2 linked regions of the Tamandua tetradactyla genome follow. The protein of the gene in region 1 interacts with the protein of each later gene in a pairwise test. Links are inferred from orthologs where the notes say so. Each region holds a gene or a part of one and is shown on either strand. Other genes may lie near its edges.

Evidence for each region. The genes of interacting proteins can lie anywhere in the genome.
Region 2: the proteins of ARHGEF11 (region 1) and PLXNB1 interact in a two-hybrid assay, tested with the Homo sapiens proteins (2 studies listed by BioGRID). The link is inferred for Tamandua tetradactyla from reciprocal best matches to the Homo sapiens genes ARHGEF11 and PLXNB1.

Annotation. Positions count from the first base shown.
Region 1 is NC_135330.1:10,069,322-10,076,744, forward strand, and holds the start of ARHGEF11 (rho guanine nucleotide exchange factor 11), read right to left. Parts: upstream 3,021-7,423; 5' UTR 1-3,020. UniProt on the Homo sapiens protein: May play a role in the regulation of RhoA GTPase by guanine nucleotide-binding alpha-12 (GNA12) and alpha-13 (GNA13). Acts as guanine nucleotide exchange factor (GEF) for RhoA GTPase and may act as GTPase-activating protein (GAP) for GNA12 and GNA13.
Region 2 is NC_135341.1:37,864,608-37,871,820, reverse strand, and holds the start of PLXNB1 (plexin-B1), read right to left. Parts: upstream 3,020-7,213; 5' UTR 2,475-3,019; coding exon 2,442-2,474; intron 1-2,441. Other genes in the region: CCDC51 (mitochondrial potassium channel), read right to left, coding at 6,702-7,213. UniProt on the Homo sapiens protein: Receptor for SEMA4D. Plays a role in GABAergic synapse development. Mediates SEMA4A- and SEMA4D-dependent inhibitory synapse development. Plays a role in RHOA activation and subsequent changes of the actin cytoskeleton.

The DNA of each region.
Region 1 (7,423 bases):
CTCAGCTACTTAAATCTGCCTCTGCAGCTCTTTTCTACCCATCTTTCCCTCCGCCTGAGAGCTCTTTCCTAGGACAGGCCTCTCATTCCCCTCCCTTCCCCACCCACTACCGGATGTGAGATTTTGCCTTCCATAGAAAGAAAGGCTGTAGACTGGGGAAAGGTTACATTTGATCTCAGTTCTCTGATAGAGAACAATTGCTGGGTCTGGGTTTATTTTGAATTAGTAAAGTCATGCTTCTAAGACAAGGAAAGGCCAGAACAAATCCTTTCCATCCCCATCACTGAAAGACATCTAAGTGAGCTAAGGACAGCTGAAGTCTCCCTCGTTTGTTAAAATTCCCAGGAAGGAGATTCAATAACCTTCCACTTTTCTTCTGGTATCACCACCCAACCCTGACCACTGGAATAGTATTCTTTCTTACTAACCCCATTCACTCTTGCATCCATAAAGTCTGTTTACTTTCCTTAAATTTTTCAAACTAAGGGAAAGATATTTTAGCCTCCTTAATTTGTTCTGGGCTACAAAGTAGTGCATGAAGCTTAAATTAGGTTCGTGAGGTTCTCTTCTAAAATTTATACTGAGTTTTATGGTTTGGAAAGCAATCTGAAATATTTTATCTCATTTGTTCCATTCCTTCCAACAGCTCCATGAGAAAGGTGGGATAAATATTATAATCTTCAAATGACACTATATGAAAACATTTGTAAACTGGAAAGTACTTTGCATGAATGAGCCACTGCTTCACAGTTAGGAGCCAGAGAGGGTAAAGTAACTTGCCCAAGGTCACACAGTTAAAGGGTAAAGCCACGGCTCAAATCAAGAACTCTTGGCTTAAATCTAGTACTTCTCTAAGGCGCTGTGTGGTCTGGTCTTCACATAAACTCTCTAACTTTGCACAGAGAAAAGCTGTTTCATAGATGCAAAACACATAACCAGATTGGCCATCTCAAAATCATTTAACATAAGGAACTAGACACCTGTATACAGACAAATAAGTGAAACTCATGACCACTCCTGTAAAAACAATATCTCTGTTTGTAATACCAAACACAGTTTGAGAAACTCTTGAAAGGAAAATATATTAGTGGGCAATAAATTTGTCCATGGACAAAATGTGAAAGGACACTAATTAATTACACTTTAGCCTATCATCTTTCAGTATGATTAAAATATAAGGACTAGCCATAATTAATAATTAATGCTTTCTATGAACCCAGAAGTCAGAGTTGAAAAAAAAAAAAAAACTCTGTCAAATAAATATTCCAAAGCCTTCTTTACTCTGAGCCACAATACCTCCCCATATACAGGGTCCTCAACTTGTCACTTAGTTTCTAGGAAATGCACCTCATCTGGAAGCCTTCTTTAACTGACCTTATTGAACTATATTTGAAATTAACTCACGAATGTTGAAACAGTCTGAAATGGAAGAATTTATACTTGCTCACATGTTCATTCCAGCATTCACTTGTCAAATATTTATTGAGCACCTGCCACCTGTGAAGCATTGAGCTAAGCACATTGGATATAACAAAGTAAACCAAACAGTCCCTGCCTTCATGGAGATTACAGTCTAGCGTTGTATTATGTGGTCTCTTGTGTTTCCTAGGTCACCAATTATATTATGTGCTCTTTGTGAGCAGGAACTATATATTTTAATTTTCTAAAGCACTCTTATAACACCTTACACTACATTCTATACAAAGAGAACCGACAAACCAAAAGAGAATCTTTGACTACATAATCTGTAACATTTCCTCCCACTCCATCCCCCCAGTATGGTGTAAGATTGCCAATTATTTTAAAACTCCATAGGGTCATAAAACTGGGATGTCAAAGCGTCCAAAAGAATGAGCTTACAGCTAACAGATCAAGATCCAATGCAGCTGGAGATACCCAGAAGGAAGGGGACCTGGATGCCAGAACTAAACCTATAAATTGGAAGAGAAGCTTGGAGATGGTGGAAATGAGGAATGCTCTCACTGGACAATTGATACATCACCCCGCAGAAGAAAATGGTGCTTTATCCCCAGACTACTAAACAGAAAGTGTAAAGGAATACCTTGATTGCTGAAGACCATCTTCCCCTACTGCCAAAGAGAGAGAATAAAATGACAACGCATGTTTCTACATGACGACCCTCCTGCCCCCGACACTGTACAGGACAAGTATAAGAATCAAGTTACTCAGGGTGGGGTAATAAAAGGAGTCATGGGTTCAGAATCAGAATTGCGTTTGAGTCCAGCTTCTGCCATTCATCAGGCAAGATGGTACTGGGCAAGTCAGGTATCCTCTCTGAGACTCAGTAAAATGGCAACAACCTTGATTTATCTATCTCACATAAACACTGTGATGAGAGTCAAATGAGATATGTACTATAAAAGCACTTCTGAAACCACACCACGCTATACAAATCCTGAGATGACTGTAAGGATAGATAAACTCCAGAAGAGCTTCCCACATCAACCCAGGAACCCTTACTGCCTCCTCCTTCTTGCAGCCCCACCCCTGAATTCACAGTAGTAGTTCACCATCCACATCTCAAAAAAGGTAAGTGCACTAATTCCCAGTGGGGAGACGTAAACCATCTAACTCTTTGCCTCAATCTGTCTCAGGTCTCCCTTTACAAGGGTCAAATGACAGAGAAGGGAGTGGAGGTGGCTCAAACCCGCCACATACACATTATATCCTTTGTAGCTGTCTGCCTTCTCTCCACTGCCAAGTCAGATCCCTGTCTGCGGACTGCTGAACTAATCTAAGCAGGACTCTGAAGCAATACAGAGATTAGTGTTTGGGAGAGATTATGGGCATTTTAGGCTACATTCCACAGTCAAAAGGAAATTATTATGAGCATGGATAACCAAAGGTTAACTTAACTCAGAGAGAGCAATTGCTCCCCTGCAAATGTTCTTCCCCATCTCTCTAAAAATACTTTTTTCCAGGCCCAGTCCTTTCATTCGCTTGTTCAATCCTCTATGCACCCATCTATTCAGGTAGGATGTGTGTAGCACCTACAAACCACTCCCTCCCCACCCACCCCATCTCAGATCCTCAAGGAAGAAGGGAGGCAAGGAAAAGGCAGAAACTTTACAAAGTTTGTACCAATCCTTTGGAGCAAAGAATTACAAACACAGGGTATATATTACCAGTGACAGAGGAGGCTTTGCAGACTCTTGGCGGGGGAGGGGATTATGTGCTAAGAAACCAAGGAGCCAGTACCTCTGCCCATCAGACCTCAGAGCCCCAAACAACTTCTCCTCTAAGCAGAGGGGAGCTCCGTTTTGCAGAGTCAAATTTATCCAACACTGCAGGGAAAATTAAAGCTAGAGTACTGGCTGGCTAGCAAGTCTCAATTTAAACCCTAAGCCTGGAAAGAAAGAAATCTTAAAATGATCTATGCATTTTGGGGCGGCTGGTAAAAACACAGGCCTGTCTAGGTGCAAAGGGTGTTTCTTGTACCATCATTTAGTCCAAGAACATCCTCTTCATTCTAGAAATGGAATTTATCCCATCCACAAGCCCCACCATTCCCTAACAACCAGCCTGATAGAGGCCTGCACTTGAAGCCACCTCTTCTAACACATGCCCCCCCCCCCGCCCCCCGCCGCCGGGGCCCTTCCCCTAGCAATTCCAACACCTAAAACCAATCCCAGTCCACATGACCAGGCTTCCGTCTGCCTCCTACACTTGGCAAGATGGGGACCCAAATTCAGCCTCTAGCCTGGCAAGTCAAAGGTACCTAAAAGCATTTCCCTGTCTCTCCTTTCCCTTGGTTTCATTGCTCATGGCTTGTATTTTAAAACACAGAATCAAAAGGTATGTTTTGAACATGGACACACACAGAGGGAACATAAACACAAATGCCAGAGAGGCCCAAGAGACCCAATGCTCCTATGTCAACATTTCCCCACAGATTCTAAAAACCATAGCCCACCCAGACCATTCTTTTGTAACCTTTTATCAAAATGCAACACCCTCCCAACCAGCCTTTCTTTTAGTAAGTGTAGAAAAATCAAATTATTAGCAAACCTACCTGTCTATACTCTGGGGTAACCTTACACTCATGGTTTCTTGATGTCTCCACGGTTCCAGAATCCTGTAGCTTTTGGTGTCTTGAACAGGACTGAATCACTTGCAATTTTTAAGCAACGTGAGAGGAGGCCCTCCCAACTTGAAGACTGAATCTTTTTTTCCTCCAGCACTCAGGACCCTGGTAACTGAAGCTCCATTCTACTTATATCAGTTAACATGGTCTCCTTTCTTAGCCCCCGCTACCCCTCCCCCTCCTAAAAAAAAAAAAAAAAAACGAAAGGAAAAGAGGAAAAACTACGACCTTCTTAGAAACCAAAACCCCAACCACAAATCTCTTCAAGGTTAATGCTATGGGCTAAAAAATGAATCAGAGAAAGAATGTGACTTCAAAATATCAGTCTTAACTGTAAAATACAGATAACCATCCTTTTAATCCAGTTTTCCCAGCTGTCCTTCTGTTGGCAAGGGAGCCTAAAGCTCCAAAGAAAAACAAATTTTCTGGTCTCCAATGCTTAAAACGACGACAACGGATATATGTGAGGGAGAGAGAGAGAGGGGGGGGGGAAAAAAAGGATGAATAAATCCGAATTGGCACTTGTAAGAAATCTCAGCTGATTTGCACAGTAAAAAAAATAAATAAACCCATACAATAGTATGTATACAACAGCACTCCTTCCAAGTCCTGTGCAACCTTAGGAACCAAAAATGTATAGATTTCTTTTTTTTAAAAAAAAAGATCTTTCACTTTAAATGCTTTGAAATTCTTAAATGAGCCAATCGCACACACAAAAAATAAAAAAAAACACCTGAAAGGTTAAAATGCAGTGCTTTTTAACCTTTAAAATGGAAGCAATAAACACAAAAACAGAGACTCTCTGAAAATATTCTCTCTTTTTCTTTTTCCTTTAAACTTGCAGGTTTCTCCACCTACCCCAGCTTGGTTCTCAGACCCAGCTTAGGTTCAGCCTTTTTCTGAAAGACAATTTCCTGAGTTAGTTCTGCTGTTTTGCTCCTCCACATCCAGGCTCCGAAATTTTCTCCTGCCTCAGCCTCCATGAAACGGCGATTTCGTTTCCTCCGTTCCCCCTTCTCTCCCTCTCGCCCGGCCAGAAAAACTGCTCCCTTATTATTATTAGTTGGGATTATTATTGTGGATTTGAGTTCGGGGAAGGTCTCTCCTCCCACCAGCCTCCTGGAAAATCCGATCGCCTCGCTTCTCTCGGCCTCGCTTTTTCCTCCCTCTCCGCCCCGTTCCTCAGCTCGCAGGCTGGAGCCCACCGTGCTCGGCGCAGGACCGCCGGCCGGGCCTCGGGCTCCCGGCCCCGCTTGCCTCACACCGACCGCCTCGCTCCGGCCTTCGCGGCCGCTCCGGACTCCAAGCTCGAGCGCAAGCCGGGAAGGCGGCGGCGGCGGCGGCGGCGGCGGCTGCGGCGGCTGCGGCCCGGCACCGGCGGGCGTCCGGCTCCCGGCGTCGCGGCCGCGCTCGCCTCCTTCCGGGCCCCTTCCCCCTCGGCTCGCCGCTCGCTCGGGCGCAGGCCCGGCCGGCCGCCCCCTCCCCGCCTCCCCTCGCTCGGCCTTCCCCGCGAGCCTTTCTCCTGCCCTCGCTCCCGCGGGGGGGCGGGGCCGCAGGCTCCTCCTCCTCGCGGCGCGGCCCGCCGGCCTTTCCTCTCACGCCCGGGCCGGGAGCGCGGGCCGAGAAGCTGCCCGCCCTTCCCTCCTTCGAGGGCTCGTCTGCCGGCCCCGCTCCCGACCTCTCAGCGCGCCCTTTCCCCCTTCGGCCCTCGTCGCCGCACCCCGGTCGGTCCCCGCCGCGGCCTCACGGTCGCCGGCCCCGCCTCCCCGCGCGGCCTAGCTGGTCCCCCCGGCTTAGCCACATCCCGGGCTTTTCCAGGCCCGGCCTGCGGGCGACCCCCGTCCGGACCCCGCGAGGCACCGCGCGCCGCCCCTCCCTCCGCCTCGCCGCTTGCGCTCGGGCGCGTTTTTCCCCGTAGGTACTCGCGCTCCGCACCCCGAGCTTTGTTATCCCCGCCTGACCTCCCCCCCGCCGGCCGCGGTGCCCGGAGCCGCAGACCCGCCCCGACGTCTTCGGGTTTTACCGTTTTGCATTCATCGGCATCACCCCTGCTCTCCCAGGTCCTCAGCTCACCCTCGCACCACCGCTTTTCTCATCTTTATTTTTAAGGAATTTATCGGGCCTCCTTGCGTGGCCAGGAGCTTTTTAAACTCCCCCCTCCTCGTTTCCGTGGCTCCCCCCACTTCCAACACGCACCGACTACACGGGAAGAAAGACCCTTAGCAGATGCCCCTCCGGCTGGTTTTGGCATCTTAGTACCGGACCGTGTGAAACGTATTTGAACTCGATGGGAAAGACTTTCCAGGACAAATCTGTTTTCATAACCTCCTCAGCTAGAATCATGGTTTCTAAATCGAAGTAACAGGGTATTTGTCAGAAGGTCCCAAGCGCTGTGATTAAAAAAATAAGATAAATAGAAAACTTTGGTGAGGACTGGAGAGTGAACTTTGACTTCTGGCCTAGGGAGGTGCTGGTTTTCAGGGTCCGGCTGTTAGTGGCATGTGTGCATAGGGTCTCTGCTCTTCACACCACTTTGACTGGGGTTGAAAGGAATATATACATATGTATATTTACCTACCGTACGGACTGTGACCCCAGCAGTGTTTGAATTAATAGGTTTGCAAATAGCAAGAGGAAAAAGAAATCAAAACCCTCCTGAAGATCTACTCTGAATTAGGAATTTCACCTAAATTATGTCAGGGACGGGTTGGCAAATAAATGAAAGACCTGCTGCCTCCATCCCTTTTCCCCCAATCCTTAGGCCAGAACCCCCAAAGATAACTGGTCTGCCCAACTGTTGGTCACCACGTTCCAAATTCCTACTCGCTTTACTGTTTCTTCCCTCCTCACACTACCTGCAAAAATGATGCTTCCAAATGTCAACACTTCCTCTTATGGGGATAGACCAGTGGTTGCCAAACATTTCTTTACCATGTTCCCTTAATAGGTGTAATATCTGTTCTCTCTCTCTTTTTTTTTATTTTCAAGATAGAACTTCAGATAATGTATTTTAAATATTTCTTCTTTTCTATTATATTTAAATAGAAAAGAATTTCTCTCTAAGCAATGCTTTATCTGATTCCTTAAGGTTGTGCTTTCACTGTTATTTAGATCCAGTATGCTAATTTCCTGCATGTTTTTTTGACCCATGGTTATTTAGAAGTTTAAGTTATATATATTTTGTAAATATTTGGTATCTTATTGTTGATTTCTAATTTAATTTATATAAAGAAAATATTATCCCTATGATTTCTGTGCTTTTAAATTTGTTTAGACTTGTTTTATGACCTGTGTACTTGAAACGAATGTGTATTCTCC
Region 2 (7,213 bases), on another chromosome or scaffold:
CCCTACCACACACAGAAATACCCACATTGCACAAACAAGCACCTCACACAGGCACACATCACACAAACTCCCCAAATATGCATGCCACCCTGCACATTTAGATACCTCTCTGGTTCAAGCCTCATGTACAACAGGACTGACTAGTCCAGAAGGTCAAAGCAGAGCCAGGGCCCAAGGTGTGGAGTAAGTGGGAGAGGAGATGAGAAAGAGGGTGTCCTGGAGGATGTCACCATGGCTGGCTATGTCTCCAATTTCTGGCCCATCTCCAGACCTCCTCAGACCTTGGATGCCTCTCTCTTAATTGACACCTCCTTACAGGTCCCAGCTGAGGCCTGAGACCCAGAGACCAGGAAACTATGGCAGGACTACCTTCCCCAAACCCCAAGTGTCCTTAACTAGGAACACCAAGATTGGCAAAGTCCTGCCATGGGTCATGTCTTCTAGGCTGGGCAACACTTAGTCTACCTGCCTGTGCTCAGGTCATGCCACCCGGCCCCCACCACCACCACCCAGCTGTCAGGCTGTCCAAGCAGGCTCTCTCAAGAGCTTTCATTGGCCCAAGTCAGCTCATCCCAGTCAAGGCTGTGGCGGGTACTCCTAAAGCTTTCCCCAGGCCAGGCTGGGCACTGGGCTCGGAGGAGTGTCCACCAGCCCGGTGGGAGAAGGGAAGCCATGGCCACAGCCCGCTGGGCACGGCTCCCAAAATAGCTTGGGGGTTTCCATTTTTAGTGTGCAGAGAACAGGGCAGCTCTATGGAAGCAGGAACAAGGCTGCCTCTGTTTGCCACCCAAGGGGGTGGGGGTAGGGACAGGGTAGGGTGGGTGGCAGGGAGAGCGGTGAACCCGGCGAGAAGCCCAGGATAGTGGTAAGCCAGGCTAGGCTGCCCAGGAGCCCCCACCTTGTTTCCAAGGGATGGGGGGGGAGTTTCTCCCTCTGGGAAAAAAAGAACCTGTCTAAGCAGGGCAGAGGCCACCTCCTGCTCTCAATGACTGCTCATTCCCTCCAGCCACCTCACTCCCAGTGATGTGCCTGGGGCAGAGGGTCCTATTGTTAGACTAACACTCCCTCATTTGCTCTGAGCCTACCCCAGGTCAGGGTTTTCCAGCCCTCAAGTGGGAGCGATCAAACCACTCCCCATATGTAAAATCACAACTGGATCCAGAGGCCCAGGGGAAGAGGAGGCGGGATCAGAACAGTTCCTGGCCAGGCCACAGAGGTCGGAGACTGACCTACACGGCCCACTACAGAAAAGCTGTCAGCCTTCTTCAATCACAGTTCTCGTGAAACTGGGCCCAGCGCCCACCCGCAAACCATGTGTAGGGAAGGGCACTGGGTGGGGGGAGGAAGAAAGGAAGAAGGGCAGTGGCATTTTTTCCTCCATGGTAGGCAGTGAGCCATGGTATTTTTACTTAACCTCTGCCACAGGCCACAGAGCAGCCATCAGCCCCTCTAGTCTAGCTCCCCACCCCCACCCTATCCCAGCATCTCAGTGGGATCTTTCTCACTCAAGCAGAATCTGAGCACAGCCCTCTCGTCAGAGCCTTTGGAGCACCCCAGGGCCTCAGTGATAAAAGTCAAAGTCCTCTAGACAAAGCCCTCCCCCGCACATGCTCTTCGTTCCTGCAGCTTGAACTGCAGGCGGCTTCACTCCTCTGTGCCTTTACACAGGCTGTTCCCCCCTCCAGGAATGCCCACTCCCTCTTCATCCCATTAACTCCCACACCCAGCTACTCTGTCCCCGGGGAGCCTTCCTTGTCCTCCCAGGCCCTGAGGAGGGAGCTCAGTGTGGATGGACTAGTGTTAGCACTTATTGTACCTCTGCCTCTGGCTCTCTGGGCCTCAGATTTCCTATGTGTACAACAGGAGGCAGGACTGCTCTGAACCATTAAACATGATATGCTGTGTGCCTAGAATTAGCAGCACCTATCCGAGACCATTTTTTCCCATTCCACCCTCCTACTTCGAACATGAAGCTCGCTCAAAGCAGGAAGTGTGGTGTTTCATTCAGAGGCCCCAGCAACTAGCACAGACATTGGTACAGAGCAGGTGTTTTCTTGTATGCTGAAAGAACCCCCATTTCACAGCGAAGTAAACCTAGCCAGTCCAGGAGACGTAGGTCCATGACCTTCTCAAAGGGCAAGGCATCATTCCCACTCATATTAAAGACCAGGCCAGAGCAGACAGAAGAGGCTGGTTTGGGAGCCAGGCCTCCTATTCCCACTTGCACAGGCAAGATCTCCTGCCCACTCCCAGGTCTCAGGCCCAGTCCAGGCTCACAGCCAAAGCCTTAACTCTTGCCCTGACCTGCTCAGCAGTCTTTCTCTGGACCTCTTCAGCACGGTCCAAGGCTACCTAACATATCTGCCAAGAGTAAGCACCTGCAGGACCCTCCGAGGGCTGTTCTCACCAACCAAAGGAAGGCAAATTTTGCCCTTGCGCACCTGCAGAGGATCTAGCTCCCACCTAGCCCACATTTTGCCGCGTCTCCGGAGTTTGTGGGAAATCGGCCTTTCTTTTCGGTCCTCCTGCTCTGCTCTGTTCCCAGCGTCCACCAAGGAGGCAAGTTACTCATTGACAGCGCACTGGTGCGCACCGCCCGCCCTGTTTTCTGTGTGTTGCGGGGTGGGGTGTGTGTGTGTGTGGGGGGGGGACCATTTGCCACGCGCCCGCGGTAACTCAGGGAGCGCTCATTAATAACCCACAGTCAGTGAACGGTGAGGGGCGTCCCCCCTCTTGGGGTGTGCGGCAGGAGGGTGGTGGACCGCCTTTGTCAGGCCCGCCGAGTGCAGCCCGAAGGAAAGCCTCGACCTCCCGATTCGGCTATTCCCCCACCCTCACTCTTCCCGCGGGATAAGGACCCCACCAGTGGTCCTGGGAGGGCGGGGAAGAGGCCGGCCGGTCCCAGCCGCGGCGAGGAGGGGGCGCGGAGGAGCAGCTCCACCTCCTCTGTCTCCCAATCGCGTTACAGGAGCAGCCGCCAGAGTTTCTCTTCGCGCGGAGAAGTGTAGTCCCAACTCACATATCCGAAACGCCCACCACTCACCCAGGCTGCCTCAGCTGGCCGGGATCGCGGCCTGGGGTCCTTCCACCTCTGGGGCACGCGGCCTGGTCCCCGTCCCCGCCACCCCAGCCCCGGGCCCGGACTCGGGCCCGTGCGCCTCACTCACCGCCCGGCCGGGCCCCGCGGGATGAGCGCGCCGAGGCGGGCGCCGGCCACTCCGGGCTCGGGATCTGCGCGCGCGGCCTTGCCCCCCCTCCCCGCCCCCCGGAGGTGGGTCCGGCGGAGCCGCAGCTGTTACCCGGAGACCGAGGGGCGGAAAACTGCGCCCGCTGCCCGCCCCTCCCGCCGCGGCGCTGCTACCGCGGGGAACAAAGGAGACAAAGCCGCGTCGGCCGGGCCGGGCTCTGCTCCTTCCCCCCCTCACCAGCCCGCCGCCCGGGCCAGGCCGGAAGCAGCCAGAGAGCCGGGCGCGCGGCCTCGAGCAGCCGGGGATCCCGCATTCCAGCCCCGCGGGCTCGACATTTGCCGAAGGCCGGGGGTTCACCCCACCACGTGGGGGAGTGGGGACCGGCTGCACCGCGGCGGTAACCGTGACAACGAGGATAACGACCGGGTGGGGGGTGAGGAGTGGAGCCCGCGGCCCCGCCCCTCCCCCGCCGGGCCTCACCTGCGCGCAGCGCTGGAACCGGAATCAGGAACTCTCCCGGGATCAGAGGGGCCGGGGGCCGGGGGGCGGCAGGGGGCGTGTCGCTCCGCACTCCTAGGTTCTGGTGGTACAGAGCTCCGGCCTCTTCCCGCCCCCTCTCACCTGCTCAGCCAGTTCGCTAGCCTCCACCACCTAGCCCTGCCCAGCGCCCCGAGCCCTCTCTTCCCCTTCCAGTACCTCGCTCCTGTAATCTTCATCCCCCAATTTCCTTTACCTGAACTCCTGGGAGCTTTGATTCTCCCCACCGCCCCCAACCGCCCCTTCTTCCAGGACTCCCCAACAACCAGTCCCTCCTTCCGGCCCCCACCTCCACCTCTGACTGTGCGGGAAGAACCTGGGCTGGGTTTGCACCTTCACTGAGCCAAGTAACCTGACCCCCAAGCCTATTTACTCGTTTGCAAATGGGGGTGATACCACACCCTTACCCTGGGGGGAAAGGAGAGCCTAGGGAACGTGCAGAGGTGCAGAGCTAGACTACATTTCCTTTCTTTCCCCTCAGGCCTGTACTCTGGTCCTTTCCCAAAAAGTGACCTTGGGCCCCATGGAAGCTGGGCAAATCTGGACTCCCTCATTAGAGTGGAAGGGTCTTCTCCTTGAGGCCTATTTGTGTCCTTTTCCAGTCCCTTCATATCCTTGGCCTGTGCTCTGTAAACTTGAGAGCCAGGACCTGGCCCATCCTGCTAGGACTTCTGGAGGACTTTGGCTCAAGGCTATCTGGACATCCTCCTGGGAGGCAAAATCTGTCTTACACACATTACACTGGAAACCCTCAGGATCTTCACAGCTAGGGGGTGCCACAACCAGGAGATTTGGGTCACCCACACTGGCTACTACCACAAGAGCAACACCATAGGCACACAGTTCCCAACCACCCACCCCTATCAAGGGGCCTCCTACATTCTCATCCACCACACGTCTCTTCCAAATCCTCCCTCCCCAACCACTCCCACTTCCAACACCTGGTTCAGGTGCTCAGCATATCTTCTATGCCAGCATCATGGCCCCTCCAGGCTACTTCACCTGGCCTCTGACTTTAGAGACCCCTGGTGCCTCCCAACCTGCACTTCAAGTCCTCCACCTTTCTCTAACATGCTCCACAACTGCCCCACACCCATCACCACTACAGCCAACTCAGTCTGGCCACCAGTCCCTCACCCACCTTGGCTTTCCTGCTTCTGCACCTTCTGGGGGCCCCCTCCACGTGCTTGGAATCTACTCCTTTCCAAATCCATTTACTCAACATGCACTGTTCAGGATCCATCTCAACCCAGAGGGGACTTAAGACTAACAAACCCCACAACCCCCATCATCTCTTGCCCCACAGGAGTGTGAACAGTCAAATGCAAGGGTCATTTTATCCTATGCCATCCTGGGGAACCACAACACAGAGAACACTACCAAGGACAGAGTGACCAAATGACTGAGGAACCAGATGCTCTGAGATTCTGAACACCCATGGAGCCACTTAGGTCATGCTCACTGCCCAGCCTGAATACAGGCACCATGAGCAGAGGGCCCCTCTGCTAAGTCAGCTCCGCATAGGCAAACCTGCATAACAGCCACTGTGTGTTCTAAAGGGACACTGGGTTCTCCACCATGTGCCAAGTCCATGAGTCCTCCAATACTGACATGAGTACCAAGTGCTCCCCACTACTCCTGTTTACTCAAGGGCATATAAGGCCATTTAGCCCTGGAGATTAAGGGTCATTGTTCCCCTCCAAAAAGGGAGAGGTAAAGTCAGGTGTCCTCAGGGATGTCTGCCTTCACTCCCCTCTGCACCTCCCACCTCTGAAAGGCCCCTCCTCTTCAAGGCCATTCCCAGTCTCTGTGAGGGAAGACACCCCAGCAGCACAGTGGTGCTGTCCAATGCCCCATGGACCCAGCTTGGTCATTATTGGAGACTGACTCATGTCCCCCCCCAAAAGGCATGTTCAGATCCCAATCCCTGGTCCTCTGAGTGTGAACCAATTTGTAAATAGGACCACTGAAGATGTTATTGTTTATGGTTCACCCAAACTGAATGAGAGTGGGCCTTAATCTCATATTGTTAAGTCCTTATAAGCAAAGAAAGTTGGACACCAAAGAAAAGATATAGGGATTAGCCAGAAACTGTAAGTCAATAGAACCTGGAAGAGAGAAAAAGATGTTGCCATCTGCATTTCCATGTGACAGAAATGCCAAAGACCAAGAATCACCTGCAGCCAACCCCAAAACAGCACAGTCTTTGAGGAGAAAGCATCACCTTACTGACTCCTCAGTTTTGGACTGTGAGCCAATTAGTTCCTGTTGTTTAAGCCAACCCTTTGTATGGTATTTCTTTTAGCAGCCAGAAAACTAAAATAACCACCAATCTCTATAATTACGTCCCAAGCAACATTTACCAACCATCTCCCTAATCCTTCCCTGCTATCCTGATTACTCAAGCGTTAGTACCAGGAGATTCAACCCCACCCCCCACCCACCCCAAGCCAGAGAAAGTAATCCAAAAGAGAGACGTAACTGGTCACCAATGAGGGACAGCTGGCTAGGTTCCACGCACTGAGATCCCTAACCCATTTGACACAGAAGATGAGACAGGCAGAGGTCAGGCCAGAAAATACAAAATGAAAATCCAGGCCTGACCATCTTAGGGGACCTAAGATGAGATGGTATTAAAGGAGCAATTGCTCTAACTCCATGCCCAACCCTTGAGTCATGAATCTCAATTTCCAATGGGCAAAATCAGTTTGATGTAAATTGCTTTAAATAATACAAACTCAAAGATACTTTAATTGTAGATTAGCACAAAGTTTGATAATTAATGTACATAAGCATTGCCTAAAAAGGAGAGTGAGTCTGCTGGGTACTCAGGTGAGCCACACAGATAGGGCTCAGTCTCAGGCTGAAGTTGTGCGCCCTCTCAGCCCCCCAGAAGGCTCATTTCATTGCTGGATTCTCTAACTAAATCCATATCCACACTGACCCCCTCAAACCCACTGGAGGTGAGTCTAGGGGCTAGGTGTTTCTAAACAGCAGATAGAGTACAGGCAGCATGGCTGCAAACGTCACACAAGTGACCAGCGTGCTGTAGATAGTGTTCCTGTCGACCCGGGCTTCTAGCCTCTGCCCCATGTCCGACAGCGCCAAGATCATGCTCCCCTCTGGCAAGGAACTGGGCGGTGCCCCATCTGCTGGCTCTATCAGGCTTGGGTGTGCTGCTGCCTTTGCAAGCTGACCCACCCCAGCCATTTGGCTGAAAGTCTTTTCCAGGCCATCAAGTTGCTCTCGTAAACCCTCTAGACATGAATGGACCTGCCTGGAATGGCTGAGCTGCTCTTTCAAAGCAGCTGAAAGTATATCTGTGTCTCTGCCTCTGGTGGGGGAAGTACCTGCCTGGGACCCAGAGCCCTGCCCTGGCCCAGCATGTACCAGGTCCCTCAGGTCTGCCATGAGATTGTAAAGGTCCTTCTGCTGGAGGGAGTAGCTGGATGCTTGTTCCCGGATGGCTTCCTGGAGGCTCACAGGCC